Linked DNA regions of Mus musculus. The protein of the gene in region 2 purifies or fractionates together with the protein of the main gene of each other region. This does not show direct contact. Links are inferred from orthologs where the notes say so. Each region holds a gene or a part of one and is shown on either strand. Other genes may lie near its edges.

Region 1 (3,746 bases), on a different chromosome or scaffold from region 2:
GCATAAAAAGATCCTTGCAAGAAACCACCAGATAAATAAAATACAATCCTGACACTGAGCATCTGACACTAAACCCAGGAGCCAGGCAGCAGGTATGAGCACACAGCCTCAGAAAACCTACTTTTGACTTTCAAGGCTCTCACCTTCTAAGAAAGACAGCACACTGTAGAAGTGAAATACGTGCAGTCAGAACCCTACACCTACAGTCTAGCCTCTCCCATGCAGACCAGGGCCTTCCCAGCTGCACTGCATTCCTGCACAGGTCTGTGAAAAAGGTCACTCTCCCTAGGTCCTATCTATCCAGAACCTAGCTCTGCTGTCTAGAGGCTCAAAGCCTCTTCACATTTCCATCCCTGGCCAAACACCCGGCGGAAGAAATTTTCCTTTTGCAATATACCTTCCAGAAGAATCCAGAAGACATCTTAGCATGAAAACTAAAAGCCTTATCTTCAAATATCTCCCACCACCAAAAACCACTACAGCTTCAGATGTAACAAAACAAAACAAAAACCCAAACAAACAAAAACTACATAGAAACTGACTAATGGTTTCTCTGAGGACCACATTTAGTCTCCACAGTGAAATGGAACTTTTCACAATATTAACACTTCCATTTATCATGATAGAATGACTACATATTTTCTTAGTTAACAGTAAATCTCACAGGCTACTTAACCACACACAGAGAAAGGCTTGATTGCTGCTATCAGATCGAAACATAACAATACAAAGTACTATTACTACCAAACCAACACTACAAATTACCTGAAATTTCAAAATTCATGCACAAGTGTCATTTATATACTTATAAATTCTACTAATTCGGGGCTGGAGAGATGGTTCAGGGGTTAAGAGCATCGGCTGATCTTCCAAAGGGTCTTGAGTTCTGTTCCCAGCACCCACAAGTCAGCTAATGACTCTAACTCCAGTTCCAGGGAATCTGACACCCTCACATACACACACAGACACAGACACATCCAGGCAAAACAGCAATGCACTAAACAATTAATTAATTAAATGAAGCCCCACTAATTCTCCTCTCAAAATAAAAATTTTGACATAACCTCTTTAAAGATGAGCTGAACACGTATAGGGATGCTATTTCGGGATGCTAATCCTGTGGTTTAAAAAAACCCGGAAAAAAAAAATGTTTAAATGTATCAAAAGGTCAAAAGCCAAGCTGCAGTTCCCCAGGGGAACCCGAGGCTGTGGAGGAGACGCGGAAAGACTAGGCCACCCTCTGAGTGCTCTGGGCAGGACGTCCCCTCCCAGCACTGATGCATCAGGCGAACCCAGGAGCCCGGCGCCTTTTCCTCTGCACCGGCCACCAGAGCCGGCCTTTGTTTTCAGCCCCGGCAGCGGACGGCGCGGTCCTGGCTGACAAAGGCGGGTATCGCCATCTTGTCGCGGCGACCGGACGCGGCGCCCATTCATTTACGGGTGCCTGGGGCCAGGAAGGCCGGCAGCGAAGGAAGCTGGGAAGCTTGGTAGCCGTAGGCCCGCACCCGGCAGGGGTTGATGGCCGAATCCAGTAGACTCGCCCCGTGTCCGCTCCCCGCGCGCCCGGCCGAGTCCCACGCCCCGCAGGAAGGCGCGGTCCGGAGGGCAGAGCTCGGCTTTTGTTCCCGCGGGGACTCGGCCGCGAGAAGAAGCGCCTGCGGCTCTCCTGGCATCCCCACCTTAGCAAGCCATCCAGGCTCGAACCTACGACCCGAGCCCCAGCCCTGCATCCCGTTCCCTTTCTTAAAACTCAAGACCACCTCCGGGATCCCGCATCAGGCCCTAGACCCCCCCGCCCCCCGCAACAGCCTCGACCCCAGGAACATGAATGAGTCTGGAAACCGAATTCCGACACGGGCTTTGAACCCAAGACCACAGATCAGGTCCCGCATCCGGGATCCAGCCTTGAACCCAGAACCCATCCCAGATCTGGCCTTGAACCCAGGACCTCCACCCAGGTTGCCGCATCTCCGGGCCCGCACCCCGGACGCGGCCTTGAGCCTAAGACCCCGGCCCGGGCCTGCGCCCCGGCCCAGGCGGCTCCGCCCCATCCCTCACCCCCCGGACCCCGAGACCCCAGCCCTGCCGCCCACCCGGCACGCCGGGGATCGCCCACCCAACCCTGAAGAGCAGGATGAAGACGGCGGCCGATGACCCACGAGCGAGAAGAGCCGCAGGGCCTGGCCCAGCGCGGGGCAGGCTCAGCTCACAGACCCCAGCCGCGCTCACCTCGCCCTCGCCCGGTCTGGCGCCCACGCCGCCGCCTGGTCGTCGCGCTCGCGGCCTGCGGGCAGGAGTCGGCGAGGCTGGTCGGGTCCGCGCGGCGGCTGTTCCAGTCCCAGCCCCGCTGCCCTCGCCGCCCGCGCCCGCCACCGCCGCCGCCGCCGCCGCCGTCGCCGTCCGCCCCTCAGACGCCTCCAGCCATCAGGATGGGCGCGGCGGCCCCTGCCCGCAGCCTCGGGAAACCCCACGTCGCGTCACCGCGCACGGGCGGCGTGCGCGTGCCGCTCTTTCCGCCCCGCCCCTCCTTCCCTCTGCGCGTGCGCGAGAGGCTTAAAGGACCCGTGATTTTTTTCCCCCACCCCACCCCACCACCACCCCACACACCCCGCAAGGGTCTTCCAGGGACGTTGGCAGCCTATCGGCCTCGGTGGCCTCTGGCTCTGACCTGACGGTGTCGGCTCCTGTGCCATGTGCCCCAAGCCAGAGGGCGGTGTGTCCTGCCTGAATGACCAGCCCGGGAGGGCCGAAAGGCGTGCGTGCGTGCGTGAACGGCCTAGCAGGTTCTAGACAGCGGGGGTAGAGGGGTAGGAATAGCCAGGTGGGACAGGAAAGATGTCAAGATTAACCACCAGAATCTTTAAGACATGCCATCCGGTCTGGTCCGTCGTGCCTATTTGTCCAGCCATCTTCAACTAATATGACTCCTGCCACAATGACTTTTTCACTCCCATTCTGCCCTTTCCAAAACCAGGTGAATACCTCTCTTATTTCCTCTTGGCCTGCACTACCCTCTTTTAAACAAGAGCCACAACTCTCTGGGGGGCCTGGCCACCACGCTGACTCTGAGACCTTTCCATGATTCACACTTGATACCTTCCCTTCTTGTTAGCTTCTGTGCACCTTGCAGCCTTTCCTTGAAGCCCATTCCTTCTTGAAACAGCCTTTGAGTGGTCTGCACACTTCCCCCTCCCTGCCCTGGGCGCTTCCTGCCGGGCCATAGAAATGTGTCTGTCATTGTTCAGTCCTGACAGTTTCCTCATATACTTTCCCTGTGCCAGCCCTGATCTGACGCCTGATTTTACGAGCCCTAGCTTCTGCTAGTGGATGGGTAGAAGTGAGGAACCAGGTATTGGATATTCATTGCTACAAAAGTGTCATTGCTGAGCAGGCACCCTGAGGGAAAACATACATTTACATGAACATACATATATGTACATGCAGATGGTCATGTGGGCATTCGTATCTTTTTCTTGATCACAGTAAGTGTGTGGTCTCTCCAAAATACTGCATATTCTCTTCCTTGCATATTGAGTGACCTGCTTTGAGAGTAAGAAGCCTGGTTCCAGTTACCTCAAATATATCCACCACTGCTATCATCTCACCCTAGGGCCTCTGACCCCTGGGACTCTATGCCCTTCACTCCATCTGTTCGAGACCTGACTCTGTCATTTGTGACTGTTTTTTACCTGAAGTTCTTGACAGCTCCATCATCCCACTCTCTCCAAGTAAAAGTACAGGGTCCT
Region 2 (3,646 bases):
CCATCCTGGGGAGAAAGGGGCTCCTAAGATCCCATCCTCACGGAAAAGCTGCTAGGGCTACTGGGGAAGGATGAATCTTATTCCTCAGGGTACAGCCTGGATAAGGTGCCTATAGCCCGCGTGAGCAGGACAGGGACCTGGGAACAAAGGGTTCAGTGAAGGAGAAAAGGTGTGAAAAGAAAAAGGGAAGGGGGTGGGACCCCAGTGCATTATGTGCGTGTCCATACAGACATACAAAGTGGATGTATGTGTGACTTATTTCTAATTGAAGAAAACTACTTTCCAAAGTGGCTGCAGAAGTCCATTTGTCTCTTACCCAGTCCAGCAGTTATATGGCCTTCACTGTGAGCAGCTCGGAGCTGTGCCACCAGATCTGCACTGTCATAGCCCGCATTGTCGGCTATGATGGTCGGCAACTGCAACATGAAAGGGACAAACAACTCTCACTCTTGCCGCTTGCCCCTTGCTCCCCCCTCTCCACCGATTCCCTTCCCCTTCCCTCCATGTGGTCATAGCTGGACTCTACTTCTCTACTCTCTCCATCTCCCCACTTTTCTCTCCCTCTTAACTCCCCTCCCTATGCCCAGAATAAACTCTATTCTATACTTAAAAAAAAAAAAAACAAAGTGATGAATAACCACCAAGGACCACACTGCCTCTAACCTAGAGAGACAGCTGAATTACAGGGAAAGCCTGCTTCCTGTTGCTCTTCTTAAAGACAAGCTCTTACAGACAGGGCTGGTCTCACATCTGGCTTCAACCTCAAGTGCTGGGATTATAGGTAAAGACCATGCCTGGCTGTCTGGTTTGTTTGTTTGTTTGTTTTTTCCGAAACAGGGTTTCTCTGTGTAGCCCTGGCTGTCCTGGAACTCACTCTGTAGACCACCAGGCTGGTCTCGAACTCAGAAATCCACCTGCCTCTGCCTCCCGAGTGCTGGGATTAAAGGCGTGTGCCACCACACCCTGCTTGGCTGTTTGTTTCTTAATAATGATTCATGATTACGTATAAAATGTAGAATCAAAATATAAAACATTGTGGACTACTGTAGTTTTGTAAAGGCAAAGAGAAAAATTTTTCTCTAGGACACAAAAATATATTCAGTTTAAAATCAAGCCCATGAAATGTATGTTCACCTCTCTCTTCATAGCTTACCATTCTCAGGGCTTTTGCAAACGACTCCATTGCTACAGCTTCTTTTCCTGGGGTTCTGTTGGCAAGCTGTGTCACAGCATGGGCCATCAGCATCTCAGAGCAGCCTACAAATGTAACCCAGAACTTGTTATGCACTCTGCCGTCTCTGTTTCTATAAAAGCCAAGATGTTCACATCTAAGTCGGACCTACTGTCAAGAAACAAAGTATGTAACATTCTTGAAATGCTTACCTCCCCCGTAAACTGTTCTAGGATCTTTTACAGTCTGAGCAAGAACACAAAGAGCATCATGCAGAGATCGTTCAGCTTCATCCAGAATTTGCTGAGTGGCACCACGAAGCACAATGGTGCATGCCTCACCTAAGGAGAAACGTCAATCAGTGACCGTCTAGCCACTCACCACAGCATCATCTGCACTCCAAGTAACGACTTAGTAAGTAACGACTCGACTAGTCTTGGGCTTTGGTAGCAATGCTTCTCTGCAAAAATCCATGTTCATAAATGTTCTGAGTGATGAAGAAAAAAATTCTATGCTAAATGTACACATTTCAAAAGGCAGCAAGTATCAACCTGACTTTAAGACACTGAAACAGAACATAAAATAGGCTCTCTCAAAATTTATATTTGTAAATGAAGAAAATACCTAATTAAAAAAAATTTATATTTGCCCTCATAAGACACATATATCCAGTCCACTTAATAATCCTTAGTCATGCATGTATGTGCGTGGGTGCATATATGCATGGAAGTCCAAGGTGAGAGTTGGCTCTCTCCTCCTACCATGAGGGTCCCAGAAAGGGAACTAAGGTCTTCAAGTTTCAAGCACTTCCACTCAGAGCCATCTCGACAACCTATAGGATATCTATCTATAGGGTATCTATCTATAGGGTATCTATCTATAGGATATCTATTTCAGTGCTATAGAAACCTTAAAAAAAAAAGTTTCACTTTATGTAGTATGAGTACACTGCCGCTGACTTCATACCAGAAGAGGGCATCAGAGCTCATACAGATGGTTGTGAGCCACCTTGTGGTCACTGGGATTTGAACTCAGAACCAGAGGTCCTTAACCGCTGAGCCATCTCTCCAGTCCTACAACTTTTTTCCCACTTCCAGAGGTCGGCAAGGACTTAGGTCCTTAAGCCAAGATTTACAGTCACTCACCAAGGGCAACCCCAGAAAAGTGAATGAGTTTATCTTCCCCGATCATAACTTCTTCAATAAGTTTGCAACTTCCAAGCTTCACAAGTTCTGGGTGATCAAAGGTAGAGGCAATCTCACCACCTGCGAACATCACCGGAAACACATCTGTGGGTTTGAGGCTGTTACAGAATTGATTCACTCATTTAAATAGTTTTACCGTAATTTTGTAAATTAGAAACTTAGAAAAGATATGTCAAATCAAGCACAAGGTACATACTTGACCCGCTCTGAAGGGCACGATGTCGTCATTAAAGGTCACTGACTTTACCTCACACGGGGCATAAGGAGCTAAGCATTCAGCAAAACAAACTAAGGTTTAACTTAAGATTTAATACTCGAGACTCTTCTTTTAAGCTCAGATTTGCTCATGCCCAGAAAGTAAAGTCTTTATTCTGTGAGAAAGAATGGACTGTCTTGAAACATCACTCTAGAGTCATGGCAAACCGTGTGGTGTGTGCATGCACACATGTGTGTGCGTGCGCGTAAAATCTGGCATACACTTTAAGCATTCCTAAACGGAAACCCCAAATGTGCATCTGTAAGAATGAAAATGGCCCAGGTGAAAGGCCAGTAAAACTGCATATCAACCAAAAGCGCTGCGTAAACCATTTCTGTGTGAGTATACACATCTGACGACCTCTCTGTGTGAGTATACACATCTGACAATCTCTCTGCGTGAGTATACACATCTGACAGAAATGTATTTCATATTTAGACTTGGGTCCTACCCTATGTCATTTCATCATACACAGTCAATCACTACACTCCACACCCAAAAATCTGAGAAACTCAAGTACAGAGAGAATTGCCTGTAATGGTATAGAGGAGCCAGCAAGGTAGTTCGAACCTGAGCTGAGACCCAGGACCCACACAGGAAGAGGAAAACATTAGTGCTACGATCTCCACTGGTGAAGCAGGGCACATATCCACATGCACAATCAATCAATCAATCTAAGTCTTCAAACAATGTAAGGAAATTAAAGGCCTAACTCAAAGTATATACTCTCAACTCTTTAAGGGGGTTCTTCCTATTCTCAGTGCACTGCACAGTAACGTACTGGAAACTGCACTTCCTAAGGTATGCATTTTCCATACCTGTGACAAGAGCGAGGCGCTCCACACCTGCGAAATCCGCATGCTCAATAGCCATGACGCCAGCAGCGCCGAAGAGTTGTTCAGGGTAATTATAAATTAACTGTCTGAAAATAAAATACATGTTATGCTCAAAATGGCTCCTTGTCAAGCTGAATTACATTACAACACAAACCTGCAAGCACTTTTACTTCACCGG
Region 3 (3,693 bases), about 35 Mb from region 2:
CATTCCTGCAAGTTGACTTCTGGCCTCCACATGTCTGCTATGGCCTATGCACCTCTTCCCAAAAAAAATAAATTATGGGTTGGCTCAGTGGCTAAGAGCTCTGGCTGCTCTCTCAAGGGACCAGGGTTCGATTCCTGGCACCCACATGATGGCTCACAACCCATCTGTAACTCCAATTTCAGAGGACACAGCGTCCTCCTCTGGTCTCTGAGGGTACTGCACACATATGGTGCACAGATATGTGGACAAAACACCCATACATATAAAATTAAATAAATGCATTAAAGTGTAATAAAAGCAATCAAAGGAGAATGGCACCGTGGGAAGCGCACACACCAAGGCTGACCTCTCTCTGTCCTCATGATATGCACACTCATGGACATATGAAGGGCAGAATGCCCTTGGTCCTCACCCTCAGCCAGTGTCTAACCAGGCCCAGGACACCCTCCCTGCCTCCAAGACTCTGCACACTCACCTCCTGAGTGAGGAACGGGACCATCTGGGCACAGATCGCACTGAGGCGTTTCACAATCTCAGCCTGGTAGAGAAGCAACAAGCTGGGTGGCACTGGAGGGGGACAGTCACCTCCACCATCCAGCCCCCAGCACTAGAGGGGACAGTCACCTCCACCATCCAGCCGCCAGCACTGGAAGGGACAGTCACTTCCACCATCCAGCCCCCAGCTGGACTGAGCATTCGTGGAGCTGCCTGGCTAGGGAGTCCTGCAAGTCTGTGACACCTCCCCACCGCCCTATGAAGCCCTCAGAGATGCAAACATAGATGGACCGATGATGCCCAAGGCAGCACTGTGGTCATTCCCCGAGGCCCTAGAAACCTGTGTGAAAGAGTGTGTGTTTGTCTGGCATGACCCAGCTCTCTGCAGGTCTTTGGGGGGCTGTTCTGTGGTTGCCTCTGGTCGCCTACAAGGCCTGTGTCCTCCACCAGGCAAGGACCAGTAAGGACCAGCTCTCTGCTGCCCACATCAGCACCAAGTCCCACAGAAACCAGGGGAAGCAAATGGCAGGTGAGGCTCACTCAGCATCTACCTGCACAGAAAGGAGCCTAGGGTAGGGCTCCAGCATGGAATCATGAGTGTTCGGGGGCAAAACCTATAAATCCACTCATCAACAGATCTCTGAACCCTCAGGACCCCCTAGAGCCACTGGCCACTTTGGGGACTCAGGGTTAATTACAGACCTCAAAGTCAATCTCCACATAGAGTGTATCTCAGAACCCTAACACCATAGGCTGGAGTCTCAGAAGCCCATGGGATCAACCATGCAACTCCAAATGCTATCTCAGAAGCTCAAGCCCTCAGAACCTTCAGGGCTATCTCAGAACCTCCAGTCCTTGGAACTGTCAGTTATCTCAGAACTTTCAGGGCTATCTCAGATCCTTGAACCCTCAGAACCTTCAGGGCTATCTCAAATCTCAGATCCACTCAGAACCTTTGGGATGACCACCTGAAATGTGGATGAACTTAGTTAGACCCTCCCCGCAGACACCCGTACCCCACATGGTCACCTGTTTATGCATCTCAATGTTGAGTCCGTAGGACATCTCGTAGTACTGCAAAGGAGACAGTCTTGGCCAGTGTGGATAGCTGGTGCCACCCTGGGGACACTGATGGGGTGCAGCCTCGAGGGGGTGGTACGAGTATCAGGGCAAGACACAAACACCCTGAGCCCCATGGAGACCCAGACAGGGAACCCACAAGATGGATCACGGATGGGCTCAGAGAGATAGGACAATCAGGTAGTCCCCCAAATTGGAGGGGGGGGGAGACCCACAGAACAGTGCCTGGTATCCCAGCCTGCCCTTTTTAGGGAGAACACGGAAGTGGGCAGAATGGGCAGGTACTCCTTACCATCACATAATGCCTTTGCATTTCTGTCTTCTCGCTGGCCAGCTTCTCACATTCTAGCTTGAGGCTGGGCAGGAAGAATAGACAAAAATGGGGGTTGACTTGCCACACCCCACATGGGTCAGTTTCCACAGTGACAGGCAGAAGCTGCTGGCTCCCCATTCCTTTAGAAACTGTTCCCAGTCCTCTCGAGCCCAGATCTACTCCTGGGACCAAAACATTCTCAGGGAAGGCTTTCCCTGAATCCATTCATCTCACACTCTTCTGGGCACCACCTCCACCAGAAAGCCCTCCAGTAGGCCCAATGAGCCCCGCCCCTTGCCCTAGAAACCACGCCCCTCCAAGAGTCCCCGCTCACCCCCATGGGGCTTCCCAGGGCCCAGAACTAGGGCTCCCTCACCTGTGGTACTGAGCTTGAAGAAACTGGAATTCCTCTTTGATCCGGTCACAGATTTCCAGTACTGAGAACTTGAAAGGCTGGCCAGACTGCAGCGGGGTCTGAGGGGGAGAGTGGGAAAGGACACTAGGGTGAGTTCCAGGGCAACAGCAGGCAGGAGTCCCCTCCCTGGTCCCCACCTCCTGCAGCCAGAGATGGGAGTCTCCGTACTCACCGGGTGCCTTCCCTGAGGGTACATCCTGCTGATGGATGGGTGAGAGAATGGACCCCCCCAGCTTCTTGGAGGCTTGAGGATGTGGCAAAGGGACGCTGAGGTGCAGAGGTGGCGCTGGGGAGAGAATTGGGTGCGGGGAGGAGCAGGCAGTAGAATTTGGGGTGCTAAGCTAGAGCTGGGGTGCAAGGAGACTGAGCCTGGAAAAGCTAGGAGAGAAGCCGGAGCTGGGGGAGGGATTTTTACGCAAAGAAAGAGCAGCCAGGGAGAGCCTGTCGGGGCAGGGGACCAGGACCCCGCGCTGCGCCCCCCCTCCAGCCAGCGCGTCCGGGGTTGTACAACCCAGGGGCAGCTGCAGTCAGCGCCGCAGGTCTGTGGCCGCCGCCCGGGGTCGGCGCTGGTGGCCTCAGTGGCTGCGGAGCCGCCTCCCTCCGCGGGGCTCGGCTGGGAGCCGCGGGCGGGACCCGCCTTAAGGTGGCACCGCCGCCCCCGCCTGCTCTGCTTCTTCGGTTCCAAGACCCGCTGGGGAAACTGAGGCTTGGGTTCGATCCTAGTGTTCCCGCCCCACCCCCACTCAAAAAAAAAAAAAAAACCGGGGGGAGAGAAATTAGGCAAAAAAAAAAAAAAAATCTCTGTGCGCGCGCCTCTGGAGCCGTGGGGGCTGCAAGTGGCTTCTCTGGGACAGCGACACTATGCCCTTATGAAGGATAAACATCCCCAAGATCGAAAGAGAGAGAGATACACACCTGTCCCAGGAAGAGCAGACCCAGGCTATGCTTGTCAACCAATGCTGCCCCACTCTGGAGAGATCCAGGACAGAGCCCAGGGCAGCTTGGTCAGGCTCAGAGCCCACTACAGACTTGCATGCTAGTGCCACCACCAGCCAACTGGGTGGCCTCCTCTATCCAGATTGGGCTCCTAAAGGACCAGACTCTTTAAACTTAGTGCATAGAACTCTTGTGTATCTTGAACCGGAACACTAGAAAATCTTCTGCAGGGGCTTCACCACTGACCCCGCCCCCAGACCTTCACTGGGAGATTCTAGGCAGCAGCTCTACCTCTGACCACACCCCCAGCCCTTCACCGAGGGATTCTAGGCAGAAGTCACCCATGACCACGCCCCCAGCCCCTCACTAGGGATTAGAGACTCCACTCTTGACCACGCCCCCAGCCCCCTTTTACTTTTGGAGGCAAGGCCTTGCTAAGTTGCCCCTGCAAAGC

What was found. The genes of interacting proteins can lie anywhere in the genome.
Region 1: the proteins of Cct2 (region 2) and Gnb1 purify together in Homo sapiens (co-immunoprecipitation; 3 studies listed by BioGRID and IntAct, with this or other methods). This does not show direct contact. The link is inferred for Mus musculus from reciprocal best matches to the Homo sapiens genes CCT2 and GNB1.
Region 3: the proteins of Cct2 (region 2) and Tle2 purify together in Homo sapiens (affinity purification with mass spectrometry; 3 studies listed by BioGRID and IntAct, with this or other methods). This does not show direct contact. The link is inferred for Mus musculus from reciprocal best matches to the Homo sapiens genes CCT2 and TLE2.

What each region holds. Positions count from the first base shown.
Region 1 is NC_000070.6:155,490,064-155,493,809, reverse strand, and holds the start of Gnb1 (guanine nucleotide-binding protein G(I)/G(S)/G(T) subunit beta-1), read right to left. Parts: upstream 2,450-3,746; 5' UTR 2,230-2,449; intron 1-2,229. UniProt on the Homo sapiens protein: Guanine nucleotide-binding proteins (G proteins) are involved as a modulator or transducer in various transmembrane signaling systems.
Region 2 is NC_000076.6:117,053,724-117,057,369, forward strand, and holds part of Cct2 (T-complex protein 1 subunit beta), read right to left. Parts: intron 3,555-3,646; coding exon 3,451-3,554; intron 2,437-3,450; coding exon 2,317-2,436; intron 1,513-2,316; coding exon 1,384-1,512; intron 1,258-1,383; coding exon 1,154-1,257; intron 417-1,153; coding exon 317-416; intron 1-316. UniProt on the Homo sapiens protein: Component of the chaperonin-containing T-complex (TRiC), a molecular chaperone complex that assists the folding of actin, tubulin and other proteins upon ATP hydrolysis.
Region 3 is NC_000076.6:81,574,474-81,578,166, reverse strand, and holds the start of Tle2 (transducin-like enhancer protein 2), read right to left. Parts: upstream 2,881-3,693; 5' UTR 2,500-2,880; coding exon 2,476-2,499; intron 2,363-2,475; coding exon 2,265-2,362; intron 1,932-2,264; coding exon 1,868-1,931; intron 1,639-1,867; coding exon 1,525-1,638; intron 836-1,524; exon of another isoform or gene 697-835; coding exon of another isoform or gene 625-696; intron 539-624; coding exon 476-538; intron 1-475.